Saccharomyces cerevisiae S288C: one gene and its partners. Changing the gene in region 1 together with any one later gene gives a genetic interaction. Each region holds a gene or a part of one and is shown in the gene's direction. Other genes may lie near its edges. The genes, in order: TRM8, SRM1, PUS1 and NCL1.

Region 1 (4,699 bases):
TTTAATAACGATGTTTTTGTTCTTTATAGGTAAATAGGGTTGGTGTGAATACAGCGTCCCCATTAAATACATGGCAGGTGGCCATTTTAAAGTTATCAATTTTGTGAGCACCTTGAATGAATGTTCCAAAATGACTTTCTGGTTTTTGAGCATTTCCTCAGGCTTTAAGCTTCTTTTGAGCTTCTCCGCGTTTATGTTATATTGCGATATGAAATCCTCATTAAAGGCATATGTAAGTAATGTTTCACACCATTGCATTTGTATCTCGGGGGTGAATTTTGAAGAGTCAGTAATTGTCTTCTTGTACACTTGATAGAAAGCCAATGCCTCTGGTGAATAGGAAGACAGTTTGTCCTCACCACCTGAGGACCCATTATCGTCTGTCTTCGCGCTCCCAGTGGGTGGTTGGTTGATTTTTTGTGGTGGAACAGGATTATTATTCAAAGGTCGTATTGGAGCTTTTTCCTCGGTTCTGTAAACTTTTTCCTGCAGTATCCTAGATTCAGATTCCTCATAGGGTGGTGGCGCTGAGTTGTCCCTTACAGACTCTGATATTCGATTTCCACTGCTTATTGATGCATCTTGTACAGCTGGTGAACCCAAACTCTCTTTTGTAGAACTAAAATTGAAAGGAAGTTCATACCTACTACCAGTACTGTTGGTGCCATTATTGGCATATCCTATTTCACCTGTTGGCTTGGAATTAAAAATGTCCATGCCGTTATTACTATTTATGGTTACTGGAGTGCCTAATTGACCACCATCAGCATTCCCGTCTGTGAAATTCAGCGCACTCAAAGGCAGCGATAATGATGAGGAAGATGAAGGGGATGTAAAAGGAATAGCTGGTGTGAGTTCAACGATAGAGTCATCCACTGGATAGGGTGCAGGCACTATATTTTGAGCTGGCAAACCATGCCTATCCGAATTGGCATTTCCCAATTTATGCGAGGACTCCCGCGCCCTTGCTGGTGGAAACATGTTAATGTGTTTGTCATAGAGGTTAGGTTGCGGTTGGCCCTGATTAACCATTGCCTACTGTATTAAAACAAAGTATTAAAACGTGGTGGTACACTCTGTACAAAAGAATAGAAGGAAATGAAAAGAAAACGGAGTTAAAATCTACTTCATAAAAAGAGACGCTTCCAAATCCAGTCTCTACCACGTTCTTGTATATAATTTGAGCAACTCAAATTAAATTACCGGGATATCTGCTTATTCTACAAGCCATAGCATCCAGTGCTAAGGTTCATCTCAAGCCATCTTCAATACACTTGATAATTAGTCGTCAATTTTAAAATTAGGTTTCGTTCTTGAAGGCACTTAACCTAAGCTTTTTACTATATGACCTATTAAACAAGTCTTTTTCATAGTGTAACCTAACGTTTATACACTAATAACCCTAGGGCTTAGTAGAGATTCATACAGAAAAAAACGTAGAGTTATAGCAGTAAACTGAGAAAAGAAAGAAGGTTAGTACAATTGAAGAGTAAGGAAAACAAAAGCTTTAGACCTTATTGGAAGTGCTTGGGCGCGGAGTGTGATTATAAATAATGTTGCAGCTAAGGTTTATGCCTGGATGGGTCCCCAGAAATGGTTTTTTTGGTTTGAAGGAGACAATTGGTACAGTACATAAGAGATTTTATGCTCTGGCTTCTGAACAACCCTCAAGAAAGACAGTAAAGCCGCTGGACTCGAGGAAGACGTTTCTCATCGATACATACAAGCATTTAATGGAGAACAGTTCTATGATTTTTTTTGTCCATTACAATAATCTTTCCAAAACAGAAGATCACCATTTCAGATTCAAGATTAAACAGACAGGAGGGAAACTCACAAAAGTAAGAAACAACCTGTTCGAAGTCTACTTGAGAAATTCGCATCTGCCCGACCCATGTGGATTCGTGAAGCGTAAAGAGCAAAACTGGAAACATCCACTCTTGCCACTACTGAAGGGTCCTACGGCCACAATTACATACGAAGACACCAACCCTCAACAAGTAGCCAAGCTATTGAAGGTTCTGCAGTCAGCACAAGACAAGCTGATGGTGATTGGTGCAAAAGTAGAAAACGAAGTTTTGAATGTGGAAAAAATAAACACTTTTAAGACTCTCCCCACAAAGCCGGAAATGCAGTCGCAGTTAGTCAGCGTTTTGCAAATGCTAAGTGGGTTGGGTTTGGTTCGTACGTTGGAAAACAGTTCAAATGCATTGTATTTAACACTAAAATCTCACAATGACAACCAAAAACCTAAAGAGGATGTGGAGTCAACTACAGATGCAGAATCGAAGGGATCAAAGTAAAAAGAAAATGCCCGTAATTCGACAAGTTTTATAAAGGTTTTACTATTCAATCATGTACATACATCATCAAAAAATAAAAAGACAATGAAGCAATAACGGTAAATATACTTTAGTCTATGTATTGACGTCAAAATTACCTTTCTTTTACCTTTCTTACCTTTTTACATATCTCAGCGACCGTTGAAAAAAAAAAAAAATGAAAAATTTTGGTGATGACTTCAGCAAAAAATTTCAGGATATTTCTGACATTTCACTTTATTAAAGCGCCACAAAAGCTGGATTAGTATAGATTCAGCAGTTCCCATAGGATAAAATTTTCAAGCGTTTATTGTTAAGATGAAAGCCAAGCCACTAAGCCAAGATCCAGGCTCCAAGCGTTACGCATACCGTATAAATAAGGAAGAAAATCGTAAGGAGTTGAAGCATGTAAAGATCAATGAAAGTTCTTTGGTGCAAGAAGGCCAAAAGATCGACTTGCCAAAGAAGAGATATTATCGTCAAAGGGCGCATTCCAACCCATTTTCAGATCACCAGTTAGAGTACCCAGTATCTCCCCAGGATATGGATTGGTCCAAATTGTACCCTTACTACAAAAACGCGGAAAATGGACAAATGACAAAGAAGGTGACGATTGCTGATATTGGCTGTGGATTCGGTGGGTTGATGATAGATTTATCACCAGCCTTCCCTGAAGATCTTATCTTAGGGATGGAAATTCGTGTGCAGGTTACAAATTACGTGGAGGATAGAATTATTGCCTTAAGGAACAATACAGCTTCAAAACATGGATTTCAAAACATTAATGTCTTGAGAGGTAACGCTATGAAATTCTTGCCCAACTTTTTTGAAAAGGGCCAGCTTTCTAAAATGTTTTTTTGTTTCCCCGATCCTCATTTCAAACAAAGAAAGCATAAGGCAAGAATTATCACTAACACCTTGCTGAGTGAGTACGCATATGTTTTGAAAGAGGGCGGTGTCGTGTACACAATTACAGACGTCAAAGACCTGCATGAGTGGATGGTAAAACATTTAGAAGAGCATCCTTTATTTGAACGGTTGAGCAAAGAATGGGAAGAAAACGATGAATGTGTGAAAATAATGAGAAATGCCACAGAAGAAGGTAAAAAAGTGGAAAGAAAGAAGGGTGACAAGTTCGTCGCTTGTTTCACAAGATTACCAACGCCAGCCATATTGTAACATAGATGTATAACTAGAACAATTTACCACATATACATAACTATTTCTTATGTTTATTTTCCTAAAATCCTTTATCCAACTACAATCTACTAAGGCTTAAGCTATTTTCCTTTTCATTATTTAATAACTGTTCTTTCAGTTTACAGCTCCATTTATATCCGGTTAATTTTCTATTGCTACCAACGATTCTATGGCAAGGTACTAACAATGCCAGGTTATTTGAGCCGCAAGCTCTTCCGACAGATCTTGCGGCAGTTGGCTTCCCTATTCTCTTTGCAATATCACCATATGTTACGACGTGGCCGTGTTCCACGTTTAAAAGCTCATTCCAAACTTTACGTTGAAAATCTGTTCCAAACAGGAACTCAAAGGGAATAGCGCCCGATGGTAATGGCATTTTGTTTTCTAAACATATTGTATAATTTTCGATTGATTTCTTATATGTTTCTGCCTCTTTTAGTTCCTGTAAATCGTACATTGTATCCTGTTTCTCATGTTTCTTCAAGAAGCCTTCCACCTTTCCCAATAAAAAAAGCTTATCATTACCTAACGAGGCAAAAACAAGGTTTTGAGTCTTTTCCCTAAACACCAAAAATGCACCAGTCACTTCAGTTTCAATGAATGTATAGTAAAGCAGTTCCTTCATCGTTGGTCCATTTAGATCAAAAATGCGACCGTTTTCAATTTTTTTTTTGTGCATATGCTATATCATTACTTGATTAATCTTCCTTGTTTCCACCGCATTTTAAATGCCCTGCCAGGCCAATAGCGCCGTGCCTTTTTTCTAATGACTATAATAAGAATATGTATGTAGGATAAAACTAAACATTTATACTTAGGATGAAGCAAATATTTTTATGAGGCCATACTAGGCAACTGCCATGTCTCCAGGCGAATTCTGGCCTCCACCTGAACTGGGTTTATTCGCAGCAATGTTGTCGCTGATATTTGGATCGGTTCTGTTATGAAAACTGAAAAATTCTCCAGTCCTTGATGGTCCTGAATCAGATGTAATGAAATAAACATTTTGTGCAGAACCGTGTGTCTGGTTCGATAAGTTTCCGTTTTTGGGTAGAATCTGCTCATTTTGAATAGATGAATAGGCTTGATTATTTTGTTTGATACTACTTCCTAGAGTGTTTATCTGATACGCGGAAAAAGATGGTGAGGAGGAGAATTCAGAACCGGTATCGTCAAAA
Region 2 (5,316 bases), on another chromosome or scaffold:
TCTAACAATTACCACCCATTCCAAAATATCTATTGTTAGAGAGGCGTTAATAGAACAACACAACACAAAAATACTGAAGGTCAAAGTTTGTTGTATTACGGGCTCGAGTAATACCGGAGTGTCTTGACAATCCTAATATAAACGGTCTTAGGGAAGTAACCAGTTGTCAAAACAGTTTATCAGATTAATTCACGGAATGTTACTTATCTTATATATTATATAAAATATGAATCATATTAAGTGGTGGAAGCGCGGAATCTCGGATCTAAACTAATTGTTCAGGCATTTATACTTTTGGTAGTTCAGCTAGGGAAGGACGGGTTTTATCTCATGTTGTTCGTTTTGTTATAAGGTTGTTTCATATGTGTTTTATGAACGTTTAGGATGACGTATTGTCATACTGACATATCTCATTTTGAGATACAACAAAGTTCATAAAGAAATTAGCCATCTTAGTATAGTGGTTAGTACACATCGTTGTGGCCGATGAAACCCTGGTTCGATTCTAGGAGATGGCATTTTTTCCGAAATTTCGCCTTCTCGCACAACTTTCCAAACCCGACCAAGAGAAGGAAGAAATCATTTTTTTTGTTGCGAGTTGTCATAGAACGAGGTCGAGAAACAGAAGAGGAATTGAAAATGAATTGTAAAAGCGTTCGTTCTATGCCTCTAATAAGAGAGTACGTCTTGCTTGATGTGAACCCAAATGCCCACAAAACAGTACGATTTGCAGTTATGTAAATTTGTGGTTTGTCTCCTGGCAAAAAGAATGCATTCGTACTGCACATAATTGAAATAAGGATGTAGTTCAACTTCTATGAATGCTCGGCGATACGATATGTAGAGGGGACAAAAATATGTAGGTATCCTATGGTAAATAAATCGGTCTGTTTTAAAACCTGTTTTAGTGCAGCTTCTTTCCACGAAAGAAATAGTGTAAGTTAGAGGTACTTCTCTTTTACCTAAAGGAGGTGTAGTTATGATAAAAAGCGAAGCTAACTAAGACAGCTAAGCTCTTTATGTTGATAGTTAAAAGTTAACAGGTTGTATTAATGAAGAATGAATATGGATCTTTTTGTACTTATATAACAGAGGTATAAACCACATGCCGATTGTTTCATTATTATATATGGCTAATATAATGGTGATTCCGGCAGCTTCATACATTTAATGTGACGACTCATATTGCTCTTATATGTGACTTTCAGATCTCATTCAATTAATAGACTCTTAACTCAAATTCAGTACTTTCTGACATGCTCATTTACATTTCCTTTTGTAATAGTGCTTCCATACTTCATCGTATAGGATTTAAACATTTAGATCGTTACCATAGTAACTCATGTTACTATTAAATACCGCTCGTTTCAACACATTATATAATACTTTGGCATTGATACGCCACATAATATTCTAATTTCTCTTCAACACATAAGACAAACAGGGCAAATCAAGCAACAGGAAGGTATTTGCTTCTTAATGGCAAAACAGGTTCAGTTCCACTAAATAAAAAGGGGAAATTTACGTGTCATTTATTATGGGTTCAGAAATTATGTGTTAAGTAAAACACCTATAGCACTGGGGCAAATTCCGGCATCAATTTCAACGCCACCAAAATTGTGTGCGATAATAATTGTGACCCCATCATGGAAATGAGCCTTCAGCCAGAGACGGAAAAACTCTTGAAAGGAATACTGATGGATTTATAGGTTCGGAAAATAATAATAATAAAAAGCCGTGTTGGACATTATCCCTCCCGTTGCTCGCGGTAAATTCTTAAGGCCATATTTCAGGTAGGAACCATCGTCAACAATTGCTACAACGTTTTGTAGTCCCCAAGATTGAAATACAATAGCAGTTGAAAGAGAACTACCTAAGATAATTCAATGAGGCAATTACTGATTATTCCTGACAGAGTGTAAAATATTTGCAAGTAAGAGAATCGGAACAGAAAATTTAGATATTATGAGAGTCTTCCCTCGGCAGTAACGATATAAAGCCAATCTGTATTCCAGTGTCCTGCCATTCTGGTTCTTTAAAAACTCACTTCCAAGATAGTATAATCCGAGACTCTAAAGAAAAGGACACTTGCTTTTAATGGACAGAGGAACACCGCATACTCTAAAGTAGAGAGCACCGATATCAAGAGTTACATATATATATATATATATATTGTTTGCTTCCGACAGAGATAGCTATCTAGCAATTCCCTTCTTTTTCAATCGTTGGGCGGCTAAAAGTAGCAGGGTTTCGCGAGGACCTCTCGAAGGACAAACAATATTCATTACCCGCACAAATAAAATTTCAAAAAAACAAAAAAGCACGGGAGAGGCAAGGCAGGATGAATAAAATCACCGATCTCGAGAATATTAAAAGTCATCAAGACATCCTCTTTAAGTCAAATCCTGGATCCAGAAACTTAAAAAGTTGTCATATAAAAGTTTAAAATGGTCAAAAGAACAGTCGCCACCAATGGAGACGCGTCTGGCGCTCATAGAGCAAAGAAAATGTCTAAAACTCATGCTTCTCATATCATAAACGCTCAAGAAGACTACAAGCATATGTACTTAAGTGTCCAACCATTGGATATATTTTGCTGGGGTACTGGTTCTATGTGTGAGCTTGGGTTGGGTCCACTAGCCAAAAATAAGGAAGTTAAAAGACCAAGGTTAAACCCATTTTTACCTCGCGATGAGGCCAAGATCATTTCTTTTGCAGTCGGTGGTATGCACACCTTAGCCCTTGATGAAGAAAGCAATGTATGGTCCTGGGGTTGCAATGACGTGGGTGCGTTGGGCAGAGATACTTCCAACGCCAAGGAACAACTCAAGGACATGGACGCCGATGACTCAAGTGATGACGAAGATGGTGATTTGAACGAATTGGAATCTACGCCCGCTAAAATCCCAAGAGAGTCATTTCCTCCCTTAGCGGAGGGACACAAGGTCGTGCAATTGGCAGCTACAGACAATATGAGTTGCGCCCTGTTCAGCAATGGCGAGGTATACGCATGGGGTACTTTCCGTTGCAATGAAGGTATCCTAGGGTTTTACCAAGATAAAATTAAAATTCAAAAAACTCCATGGAAAGTGCCTACATTCTCTAAGTACAATATTGTCCAATTAGCTCCCGGTAAGGATCACATACTTTTCTTAGATGAAGAGGGTATGGTGTTCGCCTGGGGTAACGGTCAGCAAAACCAATTAGGAAGAAAAGTTATGGAAAGGTTCCGTTTAAAGACTTTGGATCCCAGACCATTTGGGTTAAGACATGTAAAATACATCGCATCTGGCGAAAACCATTGCTTTGCTTTAACAAAAGACAACAAGTTAGTAAGCTGGGGGTTGAATCAGTTTGGTCAATGTGGTGTTTCAGAGGATGTGGAAGACGGTGCGCTTGTTACAAAGCCAAAAAGACTAGCGCTACCTGATAACGTTGTTATCAGAAGCATTGCTGCTGGTGAACATCACTCATTGATCCTATCCCAAGATGGCGATTTGTATTCGTGTGGTAGACTAGACATGTTTGAAGTTGGTATCCCAAAAGACAATTTACCCGAATATACTTACAAAGATGTTCATGGAAAAGCACGTGCCGTGCCACTTCCAACTAAGTTGAATAATGTTCCGAAGTTCAAAAGCGTTGCGGCGGGGTCTCACCATTCAGTCGCGGTAGCTCAAAATGGCATTGCCTATTCTTGGGGTTTTGGTGAAACCTACGCCGTTGGATTAGGCCCTTTTGAGGACGACACTGAAGTTCCAACCAGAATCAAGAATACTGCTACACAGGATCATAACATCATTTTAGTCGGGTGTGGAGGCCAATTTTCCGTGTCTGGTGGTGTTAAGCTGTCTGATGAGGACGCAGAAAAGAGAGCGGATGAAATGGATGATTAAGGTAGTAGTACAAAGATAAATAAAAGAAAATCGACATAATGCACCTCAGTATAAATTGTAAAATATAACATAAATCAAAGAAAAACGAGAAAACGATATGATTATCCGATACCGACAAATTCTCATGTTTATTTTTTTTTTTTTTTTTTTTTTTTTTTAATTTTTCTTGGGCCTTTACATTGAGTACAGGGGCATAAGTGCGAGGAGTTACCAGACGACAACTAGCAGGCGGATGAAATCAACACTGAGTAAGTATTATGTAATCCATCCGCTCGTCCAGCCCTTCAGGTTCTTCCTCTTCTGCACGTTTCTCTAGTAATGAACTTTCTAAGGAATTTAATCGGATTTTTTGAGAAAAACGGAGAAAAATTAAAAATGTGCCAAGACACCAGCAACAGGCAAAGCAAAGGATAAACTTCCGGTGAACATGTTAGCACGGAAAAATTCATTGCTCTCTCTAACCGCGACAAATTACCTATCGTATTTTAACTTTCTTCAACAGCATTATGGAAAATGCATACCGGAGATTGCTCATACAGACCATAAAAACAACAGAAAGTCTTGTGAGGAAGATAAGCAAGCACGGTAGGTAAACCAGATATGCACATAAATTACCGCTGACTCTCCCCTAAAAGAACTATATTGATGGTCTGACATATAAGGCACCGCTGAAAAGCATGTACAATTTTAATGTCTTTGCATTTGCATAGTCAGTGTGGCGTGCATTCTCCACAGAATCTAACTAATCAAATGTATCGTGACTGGGTGTTGCATCATTTTCGCGAATAAAAAATAGAACACTGTAGAGTAGCGCAGCGCTTTTTTTTTATTGAGGCCCTTTGCAGAACCAAGGCTGCAGTCTTTTCTCTGAAGATTAGCTTTGCTAATATAAACAAATCCGTTAAGTTCTTGGGAATTTCTTTGAAGGGGGGGAGGCGGAAATGTAGTGAGTTGTTTTTACTGTGATTTGCTTTTTCTTTCGCTCATGGCTTATTTTCCTTTCCTTTTCTTCCCACATTCAATAATGCAGCGTAAATATAGAACAAGATTACTTGTTTATACGAGATATACGGGCAGTGAATAAAGTGGTACTAGAACTAATTATCAAAAAGAGTAACTGTCATTCAACATTTCTGGCTCTAGACCCAATAGGACATAAACTTTTAGATTTTTGAAAAATGGCTTGGCGCAGCACGGTAATACTAGTTGGTTTTTTAAGCCTACTTTCGCCAATAAAAAAAACTACGAAACAGTTCTTACTTACCAATATCCCCTGCCACTACACTGTACTTTAGTGAACCCAACATCACGAATAAGAAACAATAAACAATAAACAATAAACAAGTGTTGCTTTAGCTCAACTTGCCCCTGAGAAATAACAGCGCAACTATCAACAATGAATGCATAGCATGGAGTAGAG
Region 3 (4,536 bases), on another chromosome or scaffold:
ATTTGAATTATACAAGATTAAGGGAAGAAACAACTCCAAAAGTGTTCTGCTTAAAAAATTAGGCTCCGTGAGAGTCCAATTGAGCGGAAAAATCCAAGAAAACATACCATTTTGGAAACACGTCGGGTTTGAATTATTGTCCATGGGTAATGCTAAAGAATCGAAGGCTTTACTCAGAGAGATTTCAAACTTTAGTAAAGGCGATGCAGATGTCCTTGTTGACAGAGTTGTTTCGTCAGATTCTTTGGATATAGCACAAGGTATAGATCTAGTGAGAGATATTGATATTGATAAATTAATTCAACTTGGTGTGAAACCCTTAGAATCGTCAGCAAAGAGAAGTAAAAACACCGCAGTTAGCAAAGTTCAAAAGAGAAAAGTTTTAGAGCTAAAGAAGAAAAGAAAGATTAAACGCCTCGAAAAATTTTTACAAGGTCGCGACACCTCCAAATTACCTGATCCTGAAAGGTGGCTGCCATTAAGAGACAGGTCTACTTATAGGCCAAAGAAAAAACAACAAGGTGCAAAACAAACTCAAGGTGGTGCTATGAACAAAAAATCAGAACAGGCCCTTGACATATCAAAGAAAGGGAAGCCCACTGTTAATAAAAAGCCTAAGAACAAGAAGAAGGGCCGTAAATAGAGCGTATAAAGATTTTTGTCATTAGTAATCCTCAAATGTTGTCAAGTTATGTAATATTGTATATGAAATGGAACTCGACTAATTCAAAAGAAAGGTCATCGAGGGGTTAGGCTCCCCATTTTATCGAACAACTCTTTCCTTTTAAGCGCTAATTATATGATTCTTTATTATACAGAAAAAAATACATTGTGAGAGATAACGCAAGCTGTAAGTGAAATGTACACGGGAATTCATCATCAGTCCTTCCCACTAAGTAAACAAGGTGTCTTCATCTCTCAAATACTCACCAATATCTGCTTGTCTGAAAGCAACTATACCAGTGGGTTGCATGTTTCTTGACTCAGAAGTACTTTTCGCACTGACACCGAACCCTAATGGCACATCATTCATTGCAAACACAATAACACCGGCGTGTTCTGGTATATCATCAGACATTTTACCCACATGTGCCTTTAACACATGATTACCGTATAAGAATGGCATCTCCCCATTAGGTTTAATCCATATCTTATATTTGGCATGCTTAGCCAATACTGTCAAAGAAGTAATATGTAACCTGAATTTTCCAGTTTTCGTGAATTTACCTAAACAAATACCCAGAGACATCAAGTTAGGTCTTGCTACACTAGTAGCCAATTTTGCAACATGATCGGGTACGTAATATACTCTATCCTTTTGTAATCTGAAGACATGAGGAAGTTCTTTATTATCCACTAAAAAAGAAATATTTCTACCAATATAGCCGGCGAGTTTTTCGAAAACAACCTTGGTCTCTTCTTCTGTTAGCTGTCTCATTATTGCACCTAACTATAGTTTCCCTCAATGGTTCTACTACTCGGAAATCTAGAATACGATCCAATCACTAAACCGTCAATTACCTCAATAATACATTGCTTACTTTAGTTCTAAGCTCATCGCATATTTCAAAAATTTTCATTACCGTACAGAGATATATTATTTTGATGCGGGTAACTATTAGCCGCTGAAATAATATTTTCTTTTTTTTTTTTTCTTTTGGCTTTGAAATTTTTCACTTTTAGTCATCGCTATAGTTCGAGAAATTTGAAATACAAGAAGTACTAAAAAAATAATAAAGGACAATAAAGTGCTAGTAAATAACAATTATAAGTGATATCAAGGATGTCTGAAGAGAATTTGAGGCCTGCCTATGACGATCAAGTTAATGAGGATGTCTACAAGAGAGGCGCTCAGAGCAAATTGACCAAAGCTCGTAAGGCAGACTTCGACGATGAAAAGGACAAAAAAAAGGATAATGACAAACACATAGATAAAAGACCAAAAAGCGGTCCTCGTTTGGATGAAAATGGCAATCCACTTCCCAAGGAGCCTCGTCTCCCAAAGAGAAAGGTGGCTGTTATGGTTGGTTACTGTGGTACTGGCTACCATGGTATGCAATATAATCCACCAAATCCAACCATCGAGTCTGCCCTATTCAAAGCATTTGTTGAAGCAGGTGCTATTTCCAAGGACAACTCCAACGATTTGAAAAAGAATGGATTCATGAGAGCTGCAAGAACTGATAAGGGTGTCCATGCTGGAGGTAATTTAATATCATTGAAAATGATTATTGAAGATCCTGATATCAAGCAGAAGATCAACGAAAAGTTACCGGAAGGGATAAGGGTATGGGATATCGAGCGTGTGAACAAGGCGTTTGATTGTAGAAAAATGTGCAGTTCACGTTGGTACGAATACTTATTACCAACTTATTCACTCATTGGCCCCAAACCTGGTTCTATACTTTATAGAGACATCGAAGAAAGTAAAACAGAATTACCTGGTGTATTAGATGAAGATTTGGAATCCAAAGAATTTTGGGAAGAGTTTAAAAAAGATGCGAATGAAAAATTTTCAACAGAAGAAATCGAAGCTATATTAGCATATGTTCCGCCCGCAAGAGATGAATTTGATATAAATGAAGAACTATACCAGAAGGTAAAAAAGTACAAGCAATTAGAAAATGCTCACCGTAGAAGATATCGTATATCCGCGGCAAAACTGGCCAAATTCCGTGCTTCTACAAGTCAATACCTTGGCGCTCATAACTTCCATAATTTTACATTAGGCAAGGACTTCAAAGAACCAAGTGCCATTCGATTTATGAAAGATATAAAAGTATCTGATCCATTTGTTATTGGCGATGCCCAAACAGAATGGATTTCCATCAAGATTCACGGCCAGTCTTTCATGCTACATCAAATTCGTAAGATGGTATCAATGGCAACCTTAATTACCCGTTGTGGTTGCCCCGTCGAACGCATTAGTCAGGCTTACGGACAGCAGAAGATTAATATTCCGAAGGCACCTGCATTAGGATTATTGTTAGAAGCTCCAGTATTTGAAGGTTATAATAAAAGACTAGAACAGTTTGGTTACAAGGCGATCGATTTTTCCAAATATCAAGACGAAGTGGATAAGTTCAAAATGAAGCATATCTACGATAAGATCTACAAGGAAGAGGTGGACGAAAATGTTTTTAATGCGTTCTTTAGTTATATTGATAGTTTCAACAAGGTTACTGGAGCACAGGGAGAAGAAACTGCCGATAAATCGGGACCTGCTGTGCAAAAGAGTATCTTCGAATTCTTGACAGCTAAGGGTATCCCAGGTCTTACTGATGCGCCCGAGAGCAATAAGAAGATTAAGCAAAGAAAAAGAATGGAAGAGGAGGAAGCTGCTAGTAAAAAGGCTGAAATATCCAGCACCACTCAGAGCAACGAACCTGAAGTACAACCGGAAGCGGCAGCTAATTAGGTTGCCCTTTCCTTCTTTCTTACCAACTTTAATTTCTAAGGCATTGACATTGAAATTGACATTGTCCTCTAATGTTTATAGAGCACCATTATTTGTTTTCGTTTTATATATTATTATATAATGGCACAGAATAATTTATAATTCTTTTTTTTTAAGTCATTGAACAGTCGCACTAACCAAAAGATTAAACACCACCAGAGAGTAGTTTTTCCAGCCTGGCAATCTCTTCTAAAGAAGTAGCTTCTGCTAACTGCTTTTTCAATTCATTTCTTCTCTCTACTGTCATCTTACTCACCACCAAATTCATGATCTCCATCGTTTTATCTCTGGATCCATTATCTCTTATTGCAGTATTTACTGGGCCCAACGTATCGCCGTCCGCCTGCCTTGGAAAGCTCATTGCGCTCTTTCTTTCCTCAGCTGTTACGTTTTGAAAGTCTAAAGTCTCTAAATGCGGTACTAATCGAAGTACATGTTCTCTATAATTGGCTAAATGACATACTTGATTCCCTATTAAAGTTAGATTCTTCAACGTCCTGGGCGCTCTACGCAACCTTTGAAGATCTTCAAACCTTCTTATGCTGTTATTCGATAATGTAAGGTTCTGTACATTCATAGGCAATAGGCGACCGTCTACTTCAACGATATTGTTTCGGCCCAACAGTAATGTATGTATATCGTCTCTTCTTGATAGATCTGGAATCATGATAAGGTCATTGTTTGTCAAATCCAAGATGTGCGTAGGTTTGGTCAAATGCTTTAAGCTGGATGGCATGGATTCTGAATCCGTTTCTAGCTGCAGGTCTCTTAAAATAACACATTTATCCACGTTATACTTGCCATTAAAATGATCAACATAATATTGCGGAGCATCAATAACTATGCTAGGGGTGAACTTCATTATTGCTTATAAAAACTGATATTTTCCAAGTCCTGTAGTTTCACTTCGACCTGTTGAAGGCTTGTTGGATGCAGAGTATGCGATTGGCCTAATATAAGTAAATGTCATCTATGATAAGAAAAAGACTAATAGGGCTTTTTCCTATAATTAACTAGGGTCTGTCGAAAATCAACTTTGAAAACCAGGAACAAAAAAAAGATAGATAAGGTTTATTTCA
Region 4 (5,941 bases), on another chromosome or scaffold:
TTGTATGATATTACTAGTATTGCTTGTTTCAGGGGCAAGAATTTTCACTAATACACTACCAGTTTATGATAGCTTATCTACATCCTTTTACTGCAAAATTATTCTGGATTTGCAAAATTATTCTGGATTTGCAAAAGTTCGGCTTCACTATCAAAGCGAAAGGTGACCTTTTTATCGTACCTTTAAGAAAGATAGGCATAAACAATACTGTGTGGCAGGAAAAGATTTGATGAAGACCAAAAACAGCATCGAAGTGCTTTGCTACGATTTCTTTTTTTACTCTCCGGTTATTTTGAGCTATCTTGTCATTATATCTTTAAATTTATATATTTCTTTGCCCAGCTTTTAAGCGTTCACTGGAATTGCCCATATGTTCACTAAATATAAAACTGATTATTCTCTCCTCTATATTGTCATCTCGGCAGAAAAGCTACTTTTAAATAAGTTTTAAACACCAGTTTTCTGCAATGATAAAAATAGCTACTTTGGATAGAGGCTGAGGCCTAACTAGTTGGAAGAAACTACTTAGGGATCCTTTGTACGGGAAACTTTTTTCCGCTGTTGTAATTGTATCATTGTCGTTGTTCATTTTTCAAATCCAGGCAATGAGGAAGTTTTGAACCAAAAAAAATAAAACCGAAAACAGAGCAACTTTAATTATAGTACGGCATATAAGGAAAACAAATCCAGAATTCAATAAAAGAATACAATACTTTCGAACACATATCTCACGCTGATAACACCCTAGCAAGTATGCTTTTCTTCTCCTTTTTCAAGACTTTAGTTGACCAAGAAGTGGTCGTAGAGGTATGTTCATAATGATTTACATCGGAATTCCCTTTGATACAAGAAAACTAACGGGTATCGTACATCAATTTTTGAAAAAAGTCAAGTACTAACGTTTGTTTACCCCTGTTTATTGTGTTTCCACTCAGTTAAAAAACGACATTGAAATAAAAGGTACACTACAATCAGTTGACCAATTTTTGAATCTGAAACTAGACAACATATCATGCACAGATGAAAAAAAATATCCACACTTGGGTTCCGTAAGGAATATTTTTATAAGAGGTTCAACAGTCAGGTACGTTTACTTGAATAAGAACATGGTAGATACGAATTTGCTACAAGACGCTACCAGAAGGGAGGTAATGACTGAAAGAAAATAAGAATTATGCAGTCTATCCTCATGGCATTTTTTCTCATTAGTTTTTTACACGAGTATCATTTTAGGATATTGAGATTATATGTATATGTATATATGTAGGCCATAAGATGATTCAACGGTTTGTATTAATTATCCGGTTCCGAGCGTTAGGAGAAATAACTTGGTGTGATATCTGTCAAGTGGTCATCCAAAATTTTTTTGGCCAGAGCGTAAGCTACGTAGACTGATGAGGAATTCTTTTTTTTTGCCCCATTTTATCCCAAGAAATTCATTATGAGGTTTTGTTTTGTTTTACTAAATGCGCTTGATGGAAAAGCGAATGTCATGAAATGCAGATCAACACTCCAATAAAAAAGTAAATGTTTTTAAAGAAGTATATCACGCTACAAAAATTCATAAGCACTATATTTCGAACGTTAACCTAAATCTCTCCCACTAAGAAAATGGATAGAAATGTATATGAAGCCTGCAGCAATATAATTAAGGAATTTGGAACACATGTAGTGAGCGCCGATGAAGTACTCGCAGAAAAAATAGATAATGCTGTTCCTATACCGTTCAAAACAAGGGAGGAGATAGATGCCGACGTGGAAAAAGATAGAAACGAAGGAGTTTTCGAAGGTAATATCATTCCTGATATCGACCTACGTGTAGTACACTACTACGCCACGCAGTTGTGTCTAAATAAGTATCCTCATTTGATTAACGCCTTTGATGAGACAAGCCTTATAACATTGGGTTTACTCATCGAAAAGTGGGTAAAAGACTATCTAACCAGCATCCAGACAGAACAGGGAAGGCAAAGTAAGGTAATCGGGAAGGGGCCATGCGAATTCATATCAAAACATATTGATTATAGGCATGCGCCAGGTAATATCTGAATGTAGCAAAAACCTGGCTTTTGCGGCTGGGGAGGATGGAAGGCTTTTGTAGGCTATTATCTACTCGAGGAAGGAACGTTAGAATATCTCCATTTTTCACGCAAAATGTGGTTCTGAGTTAATGCGTGTGCTGAAGCATAACATGAGTTATTCCCTGTATGTATGTACAGTATTTCAATTTCGCAGACCGTGGGTTACATATGTGAGCGATTAGGAAGTAGTGAAGTAATTATGGCAAGTCTAGAGGTCCGGCTGATCCCTTGCGGTGCTGAAGTAACGAAACCGCGCGCATATCTTTTGGAAGAGATTAATTTGCACTGAATTTTCAAACTTAATTAGCGAGAAGAAGTAGATGCATTTCAATTATGCCAAAAGCAGTATTTATTACTTCTTATAGAATATAGTATCACTTACGCTCATTTAGTGTACCCACTTACGTATTAAATGACGTACTTTTTTTTTGTCCTCTTCTGTAGCTTTTTTTCACTTTGAAAAATTTAGCGCTGAGTTCTTCCAAAGACGTCAAATCACCTACTATAGTTAAAAACATATTACTTATACTAGTTCTAACACTTCCTTTTATCTACACTGTAATCCGAAGAATACACTATAAGGATGGCTAGAAGAAAGAATTTCAAAAAAGGGAACAAGAAGACTTTTGGTGCTCGTGATGACTCGAGAGCTCAAAAAAACTGGTCTGAACTGGTAAAGGAAAATGAAAAATGGGAAAAATACTATAAGACTTTAGCTCTTTTCCCAGAAGATCAATGGGAAGAATTTAAAAAGACATGTCAAGCTCCACTTCCTCTAACTTTTAGAATTACAGGTTCTAGAAAGCATGCCGGTGAGGTCCTGAATTTGTTTAAAGAAAGACATCTACCAAACTTGACTAATGTTGAGTTTGAAGGTGAGAAGATTAAGGCCCCTGTAGAATTACCTTGGTATCCAGACCATCTTGCTTGGCAATTGGACGTTCCTAAGACGGTTATTAGAAAGAATGAACAATTCGCAAAAACTCAGAGATTTTTAGTTGTTGAAAATGCCGTTGGTAATATCTCAAGACAAGAAGCCGTTTCAATGATTCCTCCAATCGTTCTAGAAGTAAAACCTCATCACACTGTTTTAGATATGTGTGCTGCTCCTGGCTCCAAAACTGCTCAATTAATCGAAGCCTTGCACAAGGATACAGATGAACCATCTGGTTTCGTTGTAGCTAATGATGCCGATGCCAGAAGATCTCATATGTTGGTTCACCAATTGAAGAGATTGAACAGTGCCAACTTGATGGTTGTCAACCATGACGCCCAATTCTTCCCACGTATCAGATTACATGGCAACTCAAATAACAAGAATGATGTTTTAAAATTTGACAGAATCCTGTGTGACGTTCCATGTTCTGGTGATGGTACCATGAGGAAAAATGTTAATGTTTGGAAAGACTGGAACACACAAGCAGGTCTTGGTTTGCATGCTGTTCAGCTGAATATATTAAACAGGGGTTTGCATCTTCTAAAGAACAACGGTAGATTGGTTTACTCAACCTGTTCTTTAAATCCTATTGAAAATGAAGCGGTTGTTGCCGAAGCGTTAAGAAAGTGGGGTGACAAGATTAGATTAGTTAACTGTGATGATAAGCTTCCTGGCCTAATAAGATCCAAGGGTGTATCCAAATGGCCTGTCTATGACAGAAATTTGACTGAGAAAACCAAAGGAGACGAAGGTACACTAGATAGTTTCTTTTCACCATCTGAAGAAGAGGCATCGAAATTCAATTTACAAAATTGTATGAGGGTTTATCCTCACCAACAAAACACAGGCGGATTTTTCATTACTGTTTTCGAAAAAGTCGAAGATAGCACTGAGGCGGCTACAGAGAAACTATCTTCTGAAACCCCAGCTCTAGAGTCTGAAGGACCTCAAACAAAGAAAATAAAGGTAGAAGAAGTCCAAAAGAAAGAAAGACTACCACGTGACGCGAACGAAGAGCCTTTTGTTTTCGTTGATCCACAGCACGAAGCTTTAAAAGTTTGTTGGGATTTCTACGGCATCGATAATATTTTCGACAGAAACACTTGTTTAGTGCGTAACGCCACTGGTGAACCAACAAGAGTGGTTTACACTGTGTGTCCAGCATTGAAGGATGTTATTCAAGCGAATGACGATAGGTTGAAGATTATTTATTCTGGTGTAAAATTGTTTGTCTCTCAAAGAAGTGATATCGAATGTTCATGGAGAATCCAAAGTGAATCATTGCCAATAATGAAACACCATATGAAATCTAATAGAATTGTTGAAGCTAATTTAGAGATGTTAAAACACTTGTTAATCGAATCTTTCCCTAACTTTGACGACATTCGTTCGAAGAACATCGATAATGATTTTGTTGAAAAGATGACAAAATTAAGCTCTGGTTGCGCCTTTATTGATGTGTCAAGAAATGACCCTGCCAAAGAAAACTTATTCTTGCCTGTGTGGAAAGGCAACAAGTGTATCAATTTGATGGTTTGTAAAGAAGATACTCATGAGCTATTATATAGGATCTTTGGTATTGATGCGAATGCCAAGGCTACTCCAAGCGCTGAAGAAAAAGAAAAAGAAAAAGAAACGACTGAATCTCCCGCAGAAACTACTACCGGAACCTCTACTGAAGCTCCTAGCGCTGCTAATTGATAGTTATCATGTTTCTTATCCCCTCCACTGTAAAGTAAATGTATATTATTAAAAGGCAAAAATAAGAATATAATACTTCAGTAATGAGCCTTTTTTATTCGGTCTTGTTACTTCTTTTTTACTTCATTTTTTTTTTTTTTTTTGGATAGTAAATAATGCACTTTTGACTAGATCTTGAGTATTTAGTTGAATTGAAATTAAAGATACAGTGTATAAAAATTATACAAAAAATAAAGGAAACTTGTATATTGAAAATAGGATTGCCAATACATGGATTGAGACAGAGAATTTTTTATCTTCATATCCAGATATTCGTAGGAATAACAAAGTTTTAGTGACCCAAGGTATAAATTGCGAAAGACCTGCGGAGTTGGCGGCGAACACTGACTTTTTGGGCATCAACAAAGGAATCAACTACAACTTTGATAGCTCTATCCAAATCATAAGAAGACACAAATTCAGATAATCTCATTTTAGCAAAAGATTCTGCAATTCTTAGAATAGATTCTAAATGACGAACTGTGATTGGAAACGAACCTGTAGAAATACTTTCTCTTCTCAAATCCGCATATACCCTGCTAACCTTATCCATATCCATCTGATGCAATTTAGGGTATATTTTTGTCCTCGCATAGTGAATATATTTCATCAATAATTCCTGTGGAATAGGCGAGATCTCTTCCTCCTTCTTCCTTTGTCTTTGAAGTCTTCTTTGCCTTGCATTAAGCTGCTCATTTATTTCATCTTCTCCTTGTTCTATCGCCGATTCGCCATTATTTTTAAGCTCTTCGCCTTCTCGATCTTCATCGTTTTCTGGATGAGATCTTACATGAGAATCGACAACAAATGTGGCCAATCTTTCGTCTGCCTCTTCATCAACAAGGTCTCTGACAACACATAAAATATCAAATCTAGACAGAATAGGCTCGGTCAAACTAACATTCTGAGCTAAAGGCAAGGTTGAATTATATCTACCACCATTAGGATTTGCCGCAGCAATAATTGAGCAGCGCGCTTGTAATGTAGTAACAATACCGGCCTTGGAAATGGAAATACTTTGCTGTTCCATAGCCTCATGAATAGATGTACGATCCTGATCGTTCATCTTATCGAATTCATCAATTAAACAAACACCCTTATCAGCCAATACTAGCGCCCCCCCTTCTAAGGTCCATTCTTTAGTAATAGGATCTTTTCTGACGGATGCTGTCAGACCGACAGC

What was found.
Region 2: mutations in TRM8 (region 1) and SRM1 together harm fitness more than expected from each alone (negative genetic interaction), as found in Saccharomyces cerevisiae (2 studies listed by BioGRID).
Region 3: mutations in TRM8 (region 1) and PUS1 together harm fitness more than expected from each alone (negative genetic interaction), as found in Saccharomyces cerevisiae (3 studies listed by BioGRID, with this or other methods).
Region 4: mutations in TRM8 (region 1) and NCL1 are lethal when combined (synthetic lethality), as found in Saccharomyces cerevisiae (4 studies listed by BioGRID, with this or other methods).

What each region holds. Positions count from the first base shown.
Region 1 is NC_001136.10:96,922-101,620, forward strand, and holds TRM8 (tRNA (guanine46-N7)-methyltransferase), read left to right. Parts: upstream 1-2,639; coding exon 2,640-3,500; downstream 3,501-4,699. Other genes in the region: ACK1 (Ack1p), read right to left, coding at 1-1,032; mitochondrial 54S ribosomal protein uL10m MRPL11, read left to right, coding at 1,554-2,303; MGT1 (methylated-DNA--protein-cysteine methyltransferase), read right to left, coding at 3,580-4,146; YDL199C (uncharacterized protein), read right to left, coding at 4,369-4,699. UniProt on the Saccharomyces cerevisiae protein: Methyltransferase that catalyzes the formation of N(7)-methylguanine at position 46 (m7G46) in tRNA, a modification required to maintain stability of tRNAs; its absence resulting in tRNA decay.
Region 2 is NC_001139.9:319,335-324,650, forward strand, and holds SRM1 (Ran guanyl-nucleotide exchange factor), read left to right. Parts: upstream 1-2,447; coding exon 2,448-3,896; downstream 3,897-5,316. UniProt on the Saccharomyces cerevisiae protein: Guanine nucleotide exchange factor that promotes the exchange of GSP1/GSP2-bound GDP by GTP and controls RNA metabolism and transport. Involved in yeast pheromone response pathway and in mRNA metabolism.
Region 3 is NC_001148.4:150,397-154,932, reverse strand, and holds PUS1 (pseudouridine synthase PUS1), read left to right. Parts: upstream 1-1,783; coding exon 1,784-3,418; downstream 3,419-4,536. Other genes in the region: signal recognition particle subunit SRP72, read left to right, coding at 1-643; ribosome biosynthesis protein NIP7, read right to left, coding at 893-1,438; U2 snRNP complex subunit LEA1, read right to left, coding at 3,603-4,319. UniProt on the Saccharomyces cerevisiae protein: Formation of pseudouridine at positions 27 and 28 in the anticodon stem and loop of transfer RNAs; at positions 34 and 36 of intron-containing precursor tRNA(Ile) and at position 35 in the intron-containing tRNA(Tyr).
Region 4 is NC_001134.8:169,870-175,810, forward strand, and holds NCL1 (tRNA (cytosine-C5-)-methyltransferase), read left to right. Parts: upstream 1-2,664; coding exon 2,665-4,719; downstream 4,720-5,941. Other genes in the region: Sm-like protein LSM2, read left to right, coding at 754-807, 936-1,169; RRN10 (Rrn10p), read left to right, coding at 1,612-2,049; MCM DNA helicase complex subunit MCM2, read right to left, coding at 5,051-5,941. UniProt on the Saccharomyces cerevisiae protein: Methylates cytosine to m5C at several positions in different tRNAs and pre-tRNAs containing intron. Able to modify tRNAs at all four positions (34, 40, 48 and 49) at which m5C has been found in tRNAs.